2 linked regions of the Drosophila melanogaster genome follow. Changing the gene in region 1 together with any one later gene gives a genetic interaction. Each region holds a gene or a part of one and is shown in the gene's direction. Other genes may lie near its edges.

The links. A genetic interaction does not mean that the proteins touch.
Region 2: of mod(mdg4) (region 1) and trx, changing one enhances a phenotype caused by changing the other (phenotypic enhancement), as found in Drosophila melanogaster (2 studies listed by BioGRID).

What each region holds. Positions count from the first base shown.
Region 1 is NT_033777.3:21,374,198-21,380,066, reverse strand, and holds the start of mod(mdg4) (modifier of mdg4), read left to right. Parts: upstream 1-2,665; 5' UTR 2,666-2,779; intron 2,780-2,990; 5' UTR 2,991-3,034; coding exon 3,035-3,248; intron 3,249-3,325; coding exon 3,326-3,465; intron 3,466-4,154; coding exon 4,155-5,007; intron 5,008-5,869. Other genes in the region: tin (tinman), read right to left, coding at 636-820. UniProt on the Drosophila melanogaster protein: Component of the gypsy chromatin insulator complex which is required for the function of the gypsy chromatin insulator and other endogenous chromatin insulators.
Region 2 is NT_033777.3:14,284,085-14,289,953, reverse strand, and holds the start of trx (trithorax), read left to right. Parts: upstream 1-3,050; 5' UTR 3,051-3,745; intron 3,746-5,869. UniProt on the Drosophila melanogaster protein: Histone methyltransferase that methylates 'Lys-4' of histone H3 (H3K4me). H3K4me represents a specific tag for epigenetic transcriptional activation.

The sequences.
Region 1 (5,869 bases):
TCGCCGTGACTCCCGACTGCCTGCCTCGGACATTGTTGTTCTTATTGTTAACACTGTCTCTCCTCGTCTTTGTCTTCGGCCTCTTGTACAAATAACGATGATTTGTCAAAGCCTCGAGCTCAACGCTCAACGCTTGACGCTCTCCGATCCCAGATCCTATTTGCAATTCATGCTTTCTATGTGTTTTCATAGGATTTCTTCTGCTACGTCTCGGCGGAAGGTTATCAAAATATTATCTTTCTTTGGAAAATTGGTAGAAATTAATTTTCCTATGGAGCCCTATTAAATAAAAATAAATAAAAGCGATCGGGACGGGGAAGGGCGCTGTCTTCGAGAAGAAGTCACTGACAGGTAGAAGTGGTGGAAATGTCCATGTATGCCAGTTGATAGCTAAAAATGGCTCAACTAACAGTTGGTCTCTCTCTGAACTGCACAGATACCTTCTTAAATCATTGCAATTTAGATAGTTAACCGGTATAATAATTAGTTTTATATCATATATGTACACTGATTCGATTTAGTAGATTTTGGTAACATGTAGAACACAGTACCTTGGAACTAGTCTATTGGTGTACCCCAATTTTTAGTTGCTTTTGACCCTTAATGTATAATTGATTCAAAACTTCCAAGCTTACCCATCGATATGCCCGTAGGAACCTTCGTAGGCCTCCGTTTGGTTGACCATGTTCAGGATATCCTTGACCGAAAATGGAGTGGTGTTCAGGGCATCCGCGTTCGTCAGGCTGCCCGGACTGGGGGACTGAGTGTAGTGATCGTAGTAGCCACCCGATTGAGCCTGCTGCTGATGGTGCTGCAACATCCTCGCTGTGCGATCACTTGGCCACTTGAGAAGCACTTCGATTTAAATAAGTCCAACAATTTGCCAAATCGCACTTGAACTTGCGACACTTGAATTGGAATCTCGGTAGTCCAGTAATCGAGCAAACACTCCACGCAACCGTTAGCGCAACCGTAAGTGAGTCGTAGCCCGTAATCGGCAATCAGTAGTCCGTAACCCGTAAGCCGTAAAGCGCCGTTCCGATGCGCACTCGACCGTGTCTGCAATTTGTCAGCTCGATTTTGGTACTGAACGCGTACTCCTTTCACCCCAGACCGCCTCATGCCACTGTGTTTTTGGATGTGTGTGAGCGAACTGAGCATACGGGCAAAATGGCCGCCCCGGAGCCAATCACAGCACAGCATCGGAATGCGAGTGCGGCATCTCGCTCTTCTGCGCTAGAGATGTGCGAGGCTGTCATATGCTTAGGAGATTTATAAAATATGTATCCAAATATAAAAAACTAATTTATGTATTACATTTGTAAATTTAATCTAATAGCTTAAGAATATATATGGTATTGACAATATATTTTAAGTTCTGTCCATCACTAATTCCAAACATGTATGCTTGTATGCATGTATGAAAGTATCTTTGCACAATCGCACACATTGTACCTGACTATCAGATTCAATAACCGACTCCTCCAGCTGCTCCCCGTTGTTATTAGTTGTTTGTTCGCAGCCACTTTATGCTGATTTTGTTTCGCTACTTGAGCTTAAGTATCCGTATTTATTATCGTAAAGTCCTTAAGTTTTATAGTCCCCATGTATTTACGTTTGTCCGCGCGTCTTGTGTATTAAACGGTTGTCAAGTGGCGCTCAAGTGCAGATTTTCGCACACTTGATTTTAAGAGTGTACTAAGCTAACAAATAAATAAATCGTGGGGAATATGTTTGGTTTAAACGTTACGCTCTCATATATTATTGTTTATTTCACTTGAAACTGTTATGATTTAATAGAGATGAATAACATGGATATGTGAAGTTGTCTAAATAGAGCAACATTTTTAATAATATTTCGCCTTTATGGGATGAATACCTTCATTTCGAATCTTGGCATTGCACCAAAAACGTGTTCACATATGTATATAATTGCATATGTAGTGCATATGTACATACAGTACACAGATATACATATTATGTACATACATATTTTGTTTGGTATGTTTAAGAACTTTTAGCGAATATTTGCCTTTCTTATAATCCTATTAAGTCACTTTTTTTTTAAAAATATAGTGCCCTTGTGCATTCAGAGTGTAGGGTTTACGTAGTGACGATGCGCTCCATAAGAGTTTGTCAGAGTTATAATGAATTCCGCTAGAAAATAATCCTCCATTCGTAAAAAATCGAAGGCCCAGTTTAAAAAATAGGAGAATTTAAAAAAGTTAAAATTTTTCTGTTTATCTTATGAATTTTATTCTAGTTGTGCTAGTTTGACTGCTAGTCTTTAAACTCGTTAATTTGTATTTTGTTTTATTTCATTTAAAATAAATTAAACATTAAGCTAGACAACAAAACTGTTGTGAAATAAGAAATTTCGTCATAACATAAATACATCGTATACTTAGGCCGATATTTTCTTAGTCCTACAACCTTTTTTAACACACCCGCAAACTAAAATCCTACAGCATATGTAAACTAAAGTATGTAAAAGTTTTCAAAAAGTTATGAACTTAATTATGTGATTTTCGTACTAACATTTAAAAAAAAAATATCAAAGCACATCAACTATCAATATTCATAAAAGTATTTCGATATAAATATTTTAAGCTATCGATATATTGTCACTTTTTGTTTTGCCATCGCCAGCAATCTCGTCGCCTGGTAACACTTCTAATTTTCACGTCAAAGAACTCGGACGCGTTCTGCGTGTCGGCCGCGCTAGCAAAAAACTCTGGCTTTAGTTAGTTATTTTATTGGAAAAATATTTAGTCAAGAGGTGAGTAATGGCGCCCCAAGTGAATATACACAGTAGGTTGCGGTCATTAAGCGAGATAAATGTAATTTACACACACGCACACACAGACAGACGCGTGAAAATTTCCCAGTTTTTTTTGGCTGCAGTGCATTCTATTTTGTGTGTGCCTTTGCCATTTTTCAGCACTCGCTGCATTGAGTTTTAAACGCGCATTGCACTTTTTCGCCTGCAGCCAACAAACGCATAGATACAGAAAAGTATTGATTTTCGTCCAAGATGGCGGACGACGAGCAATTCAGCTTGTGCTGGAACAACTTCAACACGAATTTGTCGGCCGGCTTCCACGAGTCGCTATGCCGCGGCGACCTGGTGGACGTCTCGCTGGCCGCCGAGGGCCAAATAGTGAAGGCCCACCGATTGGTGTTATCCGTCTGCTCGCCCTTCTTCCGCAAGATGTTCACTCAGATGCCGTCGAACACCCACGCTATCGGTGAGTTTGTGCCCCTCAGCTCAGATCTGTAGCTCTACGTGATTTTTTACCTTATACTCTCTTCGCCTATCTTGCAGTATTCCTGAACAACGTCAGCCACTCGGCGCTGAAGGACCTCATCCAATTCATGTACTGCGGCGAGGTCAACGTGAAGCAGGACGCCCTGCCCGCGTTTATTAGCACCGCGGAATCGCTGCAAATCAAGGGGCTAACGGATGTGAGTATATGTATACATTTGTGTGCGTGATATACTGGTATATCGAATCGAGCAACTACAACGCAACCTTTCGCGCCCAATACATACAGACGCGATGGCTGGCGTCTGTATAAGAGCATGGTTTGACTGTACCGAGAAATTTCTCGCAAACCAAATGCCAAAAGGCACGCGTGCCAGAGAGAGACAACTGCAGGGGCTATACGCGAAGCGTTTGTCTCGCTCTGGCTCGCACGGCAGCGGCAAATTGGAGTGGTTGTTTTTGTCTCGCAGCGAATTCGATGCCAAAGCATAAACATTTTTTGCTTTTAAACTAATGTTTAAATTGGGAAATATCTCTTAATGTTTTCGACTAAAATTAACGTATTTGCAAAATTAAATTTAGTGCAGCTGTACCTAAAGAAACAGGCATCGGAACTAGAAAATGTATTATTGTTTCCCAATTCAAGGAAGGCGTACTTTACTAATTAATGGCCAGATTTCTTATTTCTTTGCAAATTCCATTCTAACGGAATAATTCTTTTCAACATATAGTTTTGAAATCGTCCATTTTATTAAATGCAGATACTTTTAAAGTTTATTAAGTTTTGATCGTGGTTCATTTTTAAAGAGGTGCTAGAACATACAAAATATCTTTTCACTTATTCCTAAAATATATGTTAATAATTAAAAAACCAATATTTTTTTTTCAGAACGATCCTGCGCCTCAGCCGCCGCAGGAATCCAGCCCGCCGCCAGCAGCACCTCATGTACAACAACAGCAAATACCGGCTCAGCGGGTGCAGCGCCAGCAGCCTCGCGCCTCCGCCCGCTACAAGATCGAGACCGTGGACGACGGCCTGGGCGACGAGAAACAGAGCACCACCCAGATCGTCATCCAGACCACGGCCGCACCCCAAGCCACCATTGTACAACAGCAGCAACCGCAGCAGGCGGCGCAGCAGATCCAATCGCAGCAGCTGCAGACGGGAACCACGACGACGGCGACGCTGGTGTCGACAAACAAACGCTCTGCCCAGCGCTCCTCCCTGACCCCCGCCTCCTCGAGCGCCGGCGTAAAGCGCTCCAAGACAAGCACCTCCGCAAATGTTATGGACCCTCTCGACTCGACCACTGAAACTGGAGCCACGACAACCGCCCAACTTGTGCCGCAACAGATCACCGTGCAAACCTCTGTGGTCTCTGCGGCAGAAGCAAAGCTCCACCAGCAATCGCCGCAGCAGGTTCGACAGGAGGAAGCCGAGTACATTGATCTCCCCATGGAATTGCCCACGAAATCTGAACCTGACTACTCTGAGGACCATGGCGACGCCGCCGGCGATGCCGAGGGCACCTATGTGGAGGACGATACTTACGGAGACATGCGCTACGACGACAGCTACTTCACTGAAAACGAGGATGCTGGCAACCAGACTGCGGCAAATACGAGCGGTGGCGGAGTGACGGCGACCACTTCCAAGGCTGTGGTCAAGCAACAGTCCCAGAACTACAGTGAATCATCGTTTGTCGACACCAGCGGGGATCAGGGCAACACAGAGGCTCAAGGTTGGTTGAATTGCAAAGCATACATGGCCAGAGGCCAATAGATATAAGCAATATTTAAAGGACATTAAGTCCGCTTGCGAAATGCAAACACGTTAAAAAAAAGATCACATATGTATTCCAAACTTGAACACTTTCCAAATCTATTAGCGTCGCAAGCGGATCATGTCCTTTTAGAGTTCGGCAAAGTGCGTTTAATTTTGTTTTGAACAAACTTAAGCTATACTTCGCTGGCCATTAGTTAATAAGTAGTTTACGGGCCTGTGTTCTATTTCGAATCGACAAAGAGCACTAGGCAGATCTGCTGTCCGATGCATATTTGTTAAATGCTGGACGGAGATCGCGCGGTTTTACACTTATTCAGTTAAAAGGTAAGTAGAGTGATGAAATTTTAAGAAGCTGCTACGATGGATATCTGATGTCAACGTGAAGCCGAACCCGTGAAGAGCTGCAACTACTCAAGGTAATACCGGCACTCTTAAAACCACACCTATCCATATATTTTTCCAAAATTTGCAGGCATTTGTAATTGTTTATTTGACTGAGCAAAGCGAGTAATTGGAGTTTTCAATCTTACATGATCAGGGGGTTATTATTTGGGCATGCGCATTTCTGTTTAATAATGATCCTCTGGTGATGCTAAGGCTACTGAGGTTTGTTGTTATTTATGTTTTCAAACTCGTACTTAAAGATGTTGTCTGGATTTGTTTAAGCAACGTAAAAGCTTGCTGATGCAAATCCAGCAACGGCATTGATTGCCGAGTCTTAAAAAAAAAATTGTATTTATAACGCTGTGTTATAGTAAAGGTTCATTTCTAATCGTTTTAGTGGTCACGTAAAAAAAAAAGGAAAGATTTTAATAATA
Region 2 (5,869 bases), 7.1 Mb from region 1:
ATGGAGTTTGAACTGTATGTGAATTTGTTTTCCGGCTGCGACAAATTGAAATTTGTATGTACCGCCATTCGTGATATTTTGCCAGTTGACTTTTTGTGTTACTTTTTATCTAGAGGAAAAAAATATCCATTAACTTGTAGGATTTTTCTTGTTATAATTCCAACTGCCGTCGTTCGTGTTGATGCTGTTACTTAAGTTATTAATTTGATTGTTGCTGCTTCTGTGGGACAACAACGAGCAGCTTTTGTTTATGGTTTCTCTAGTTTTCCATCGCCTTGTTTTTTTGTTTTGAAACAATACAAATGAGTGAGAGGAGCAGCGCAGATCACCGAGTGTGTAAATACACACAATCGAGGCTTTACGTTTGTCCCATGGCAACGACAGTAACCGTTCTCTAACTTAAGTAATTGTTGTGCATATATTTCACTTAATAGCAACTCTTCTTTTTATAATATTTTTGTTTATTTGTGTGTATTTCTATATATTCATCTTTTCGGCACTCACAAACACAGATACAAAAGCGGCAACGACGACGACGGCGACGACAACGCGATATATTTTATACGTTTTTTTCCAGCTTTTTCGCCGCTAAACGAAGGCACTAACTAAGTGAACTTAGCCAAAACAACTAAGAGCGCAGCAGGCGAGCGACCAACTCCAAGCAGCACTCAAAAACAAGTGACTGCTGAAATGACTGGCGAACAAGCGACGAGCGACGATTCTCCGCCGCCGGCGAGGTAGACTCTCTTCCAGAAGACTCTCTTTGGGCGTTCAGCTGGGCTCTCGGCTTTCGGTTTCTTCGGCTGGAATTGAAGAATGGCATTATCGCGCACTGGAAGTGCACACAAATACTCATTCGATTCGTGGATGTTGGTTTACTGCCTCCACTGCTTCCACTGCTCACTTCTCCAACCTGGAATTACTTTTCCAAGTACTCACCATAGGGGCCATACGAATTCGTTAGATGATTGTGCCTAATTCGAGTGATAATGGTGATAGCAAACACGTTGGACTAGCCAGCAGGGAAAGAGAATATTACAGGCACAGTGGTTGCATGGTGTGATGAACCATCCGAGTTTTACTTTACTTAATTTACTTTCCCACTTCAGATCACTCATACGCAGTGGTGTCCCTTACAAAAACCATGTTTTAACTGGATGTTGATTTTATTAGATTAAATTGATTAAATTAAGTTTATTAGATTTCATGACAATAGCTTGCATTTAATAATCTAAACTAAAATATTATATAGATGGCACACACTGTACGCAAATAATCGTATGTATGTAAGTATGTACCCGCAAACTTGTGATAATCATTTAAGCAGCTCTCTCTGTTTTTCTGGCACTCATCTTGATTATTAAATGATAACTGGATGACGGCGACAGGTGCACAAGTACAATGATTATCAAGCTCCTCGCGTTTTCTATTAGGTTTTATTGTTTTTTTTTTCCCGAGTTCGTCATAGGATTAATTAGCATGCATGATAAGCCCACGATCTGTGGAGGAATCCCTTTTTCAGCGATGAGCTGGAAATTTTCCAACCAACGCGGACGTCATCGTTTGCATTGCAGATTGCGGTAAAAGTTGAAGAACTATTTTTGGAAATCCGGTGATAGTGGCTATACGCCCGCTGCTTCTGCTGCTGCTGTCAAAACAAGACTTTCATTATGATTAGGCCAACGAATTCGTGTTGTTTGCGGCCCAGATAAGCGCCGAATGACTGTCACAGTACAAGGTAATCCATGTTAGATATACATATATTGTTATCGATACCCCTTATCACTGCGCACCTAAACGGACCGACTAACCATGAGGTGCGGAATGCGTCAGCTGCCAAAAACAAAGCTCGATCTGCCCGTGTTGCCAATAGCTGATAGTCCAAGTTACAAGGAGTTGATCAATTTGTTTATGTTTTCGTGTTTAATAGAAGGAATGCCAGGGAAATTGATTTAGTACCTATTATTAGCATTCATTTGAATTATTTCATTTACTAGCAATAATGGTTGTTATGATTATAGTTTCATTATTATTACTTTTTTTATTTTATTATATTATTTTGATAATATTTAGTTATTTATTATTTTTATTTACATAAGTAATTACTAAATTCAGGCCACAACTATTAACACGTCCTTCTTGGTGAACTTTCTATACTAATAAGGTTAATTGCAATGCCTTTTTGTGAGATAACATCTTCTGAATGTGGGTTACCATTTTTTGTCACTGAACAAGAAATTTACAGGCGCTCAGTGATTCAATTTCCTGCGAATTTTTTGTTCACTTCGGTGAAACGTCGTCGAAATGACGTCGATTTAAGCCACCGAATTACCGCCCTACGCTTCTCGCCCGGCAACAGTTGGATTTACATTGTGAATCAAATATGTGCTAATTGAGCGGACACGTTCGATTCGTTGACCAAAATCTATTTGTTTACATCGCGCCTTGCGAATGCATAAAGCCTTTGGGTGTCTTCCCAAAAAATTGGTTAATAACTTTGGCAAAGAACCAAATGCGAAGTGGACGCAGCTGACAAGTTGTTTATGTGTGTCCGCACATTATGGCTTCATTATGAAATCGCAACTAATCCGAACTTCATATACTGGCATAATGGAATTGCCAATGAGGTGATTGATATTTGCCACTTAGAATGTGGACTAGGAAAATCTCCTGTTTTTTAAATTGTTTACCGAAGCGGTTTCTTTTCTTTCCTTCTTTCCCAATAAGATACCGAAGGGTACTTAAAAATTATATTGAACGGAAAGTGTGATAATATTGGATATTCAAAAATTCAAGGTTAATGTGTTTTGTACACTCCATTCTAAACATTTTAATTACCACAAATTAAACAAATTAGCAGTTACACCGAAAGTGGTTTTAAATTTTGAAAAATACTGTTTTGTAGCAATACGCTTTTGTCTTTGAACTAGCAGAGACACATTCCGTATTTAACCAAGACACACACCCCGCAGAGCAGAGACACCCTACTAAAATATCGGTGTGACCAGGTCTGCACACACATGAATTTATTTGTAAGTCTCACAGTATTTTTTATAGTTATCGGCGCGGTCACACTGTCCGGTCGTTTTGCTTTGCTATTTCCATTTCGCTCGTCGAAAAAACGCAGAAAATGTGGAAAATAATTGATAAACTGTGCTAAATAGTGTGTGTGAATATGGTATGCAGTGTCTGCCAATGAAATTACATCGAATTTGTGGCGTTCAATTGTTAAAAAAGTGTGAAAATCGAGAGCAGAAAACCTGATTTCTGTGAAGAAGAAGCAGGCATTTTTCATCGTCGTAAAACCCATACATACAGACACCCGCACACACACACACGCGCATACGTAGCAACATATGTATATACGAAACGCGCGGGCGCGAGAGAGAGAACGAAATAGCAAGAGAGCGGGCCATTTCGGTTCGTGTGTGCGTGTACCTGTGCGTTTGTTTTGTGAGCGCAGAGCGACAGAGTGAGAGAGCGGCGAATGTGAGAGCCAAAGCAAAAACCAAGAAATAAGTGAACGAAAATAAAAACGAAAATCGCAATCTCCACCCCTGTATTTTGTGTTTACTAGTGTTTTGAGTGCGTGTGTTTCTGTCCCGTTTTGTTGTGAAATTGTCCCAAGTGTGGATTATTTTCGTTTTCGTATTATATTCGTGCACCAAGGATGCCAAATGGTAACAACAACCCCTGAAACGGTATCGAATCTCAATCTGCATCTGGATACACGCTCGACAGCAAGGTAATTATAAGATCGCCGCGATAAAAGGCGTCGCCGGCTGCCGATGAGTCAGTCTGCCGTGAATATATATCAATGGATATTTGCGCACATATATAAGCATGCCAGATATTGATTTGGAATGCACCCGGAGATACTGTACACCATTGCACACCACATCACATTATCATATCCCATCCCGTCGATTTCATATTCATAAAGTCCCCACTAACCTTTGTAGACCTCTAGTCAGTAGTTTAGATTGTTGTTTTTAGCTAGAAAGAATAGGAAAGTGTCGTTCAATTATTCACTCGATAATGCAAATTAGGCTGCACAACAAATACTGTTAGTTTATGGCCCACGCTGCGATTTATGTCTACAGTGGGACCTCGTTGAGTGCGACTAGCAGCAGATGGTAGCATTTTTGATTTAGTTTTGTTCTATTTTGTAGTACTAGTAAGCAAGTCTTGTTTCTGGAAAACCTGTTGATTTAATAACAACTTTCTTAACAACGAATTCATTAGTTAATATTTTTATTTTAATCTAATACTAACAGTTTAAAGAGGAGGCGAAATATTTTTTGCTTAAAATAAGTACATCTATTATCATATAATCATATGACTCCTGAAGTTAATCCATCAAATATTTCATTCTTATAAGAAACAATATTATTCGTTTTCTGTTAGCCAGGGGGATTTTACTGCAAGTTTCCATCTACGACGTTTTCCATTATTTACCACCCGTAAAACGAACGGTAAATGACAGTCGCTAACACACCCACACACACAGCGGCGAGCTATAATAAAGCATCGCCGATAAATAAAACTTAATGTGTGACCAGTTAATTGCTTTTGTTGTCGCCTCATTCTAAATCAAATCACTCTCTCGCTCTCACCGTCTCTTTCTCTCTCTCTCTCTCTCTCTATTGGGCTCACATGGCCAAAGTGTTTGTATAACTAAAATTGCTGTTTGTTTTGTTGCTGGCGCTGTTGAAACTTTTAATAAATTATACAATAAAATGAAAAACGATCTCAGCAGCAGCAGGAGCTAAATCGATTGCCGCTGCCGTTCGCTGCCTAGAAGCTGTTGAATAATTACAAAATAAATATATGTACTTGTACATTGGCTGTTTGAGTATTTGTTGACGCCATTTTTTTATTTGCCATCAAAAAGGCAAATTCCAAATCGGCTAGTGTCGATGCCTGTGTGTTTGTGTGTGGGAAACTACGCGCCAAACAACATTGAGGCGCAAAATCGCCAAATGAGTAATTGCGCATATTAAAATTCGCCTTTCAAAAGTCGACCAACTGAGCCGTAAGCTAATGCGAGATCTTGAATGGGAATGAATATGCGATGCGGGCCAACCGATGCTCATCCGAATGCATTTTCACGCTCCACTGCGTCCGCATCTCGTCGATCACGCCTCACAGAATCATTGCACATTTGAATTCGGATGGGTCTACTCACAAATACAAATTTTAAGATCATTTGATGGGACATTTTCAACGGGTTTAAATTAAAATATCCTTGTTTACATAATTCCTATTGTAAAATCGAAAAAAGTCATTTGTTTATTTGTTCTTCTTCTCCAAGATAATCTATTTTCTAAAACATGAGCACTACAATGCTTCGCTTAGCGAGCGATCACTGTAGGTGTGATTTCTATTTGCTTCGGTGGCCGAATTATTAGTTTGCATTGTTGCTACCAGCTAGCTGTATTTACACCTTTATTTACAGTGCGTTTTGAGAGGCTGCAGCTGCCAGCTGAGTTGAATTTATTTTACCTTGTGTTTCGTTACCTTTTACCACCACCACCAACACACAGCATAAACACCACGAAACCAGATGCCCACACACGCAAACAAACATTCGCGTACAAGTATTTAGTTCATGTTTCGTGGCAAATTGGACATCAAAATTGCGAGCTGCCAAGTCGGCTCTCAATATTCAATGCCCAATGCTCATGGCCCACAGAGATACAGATATCCATCCGACCATCTCTATCCATCCATCCCAACACCAATCCATGCGGCACCCACACCACGACACCTTTCGCACATTTATTGGCGCGCACATTTTTCATGTTTCACCTTTGGCTGCGTGTTTTGATTTACAAGCAAATACGGTGTATGTGTGTGTGCACAAGCA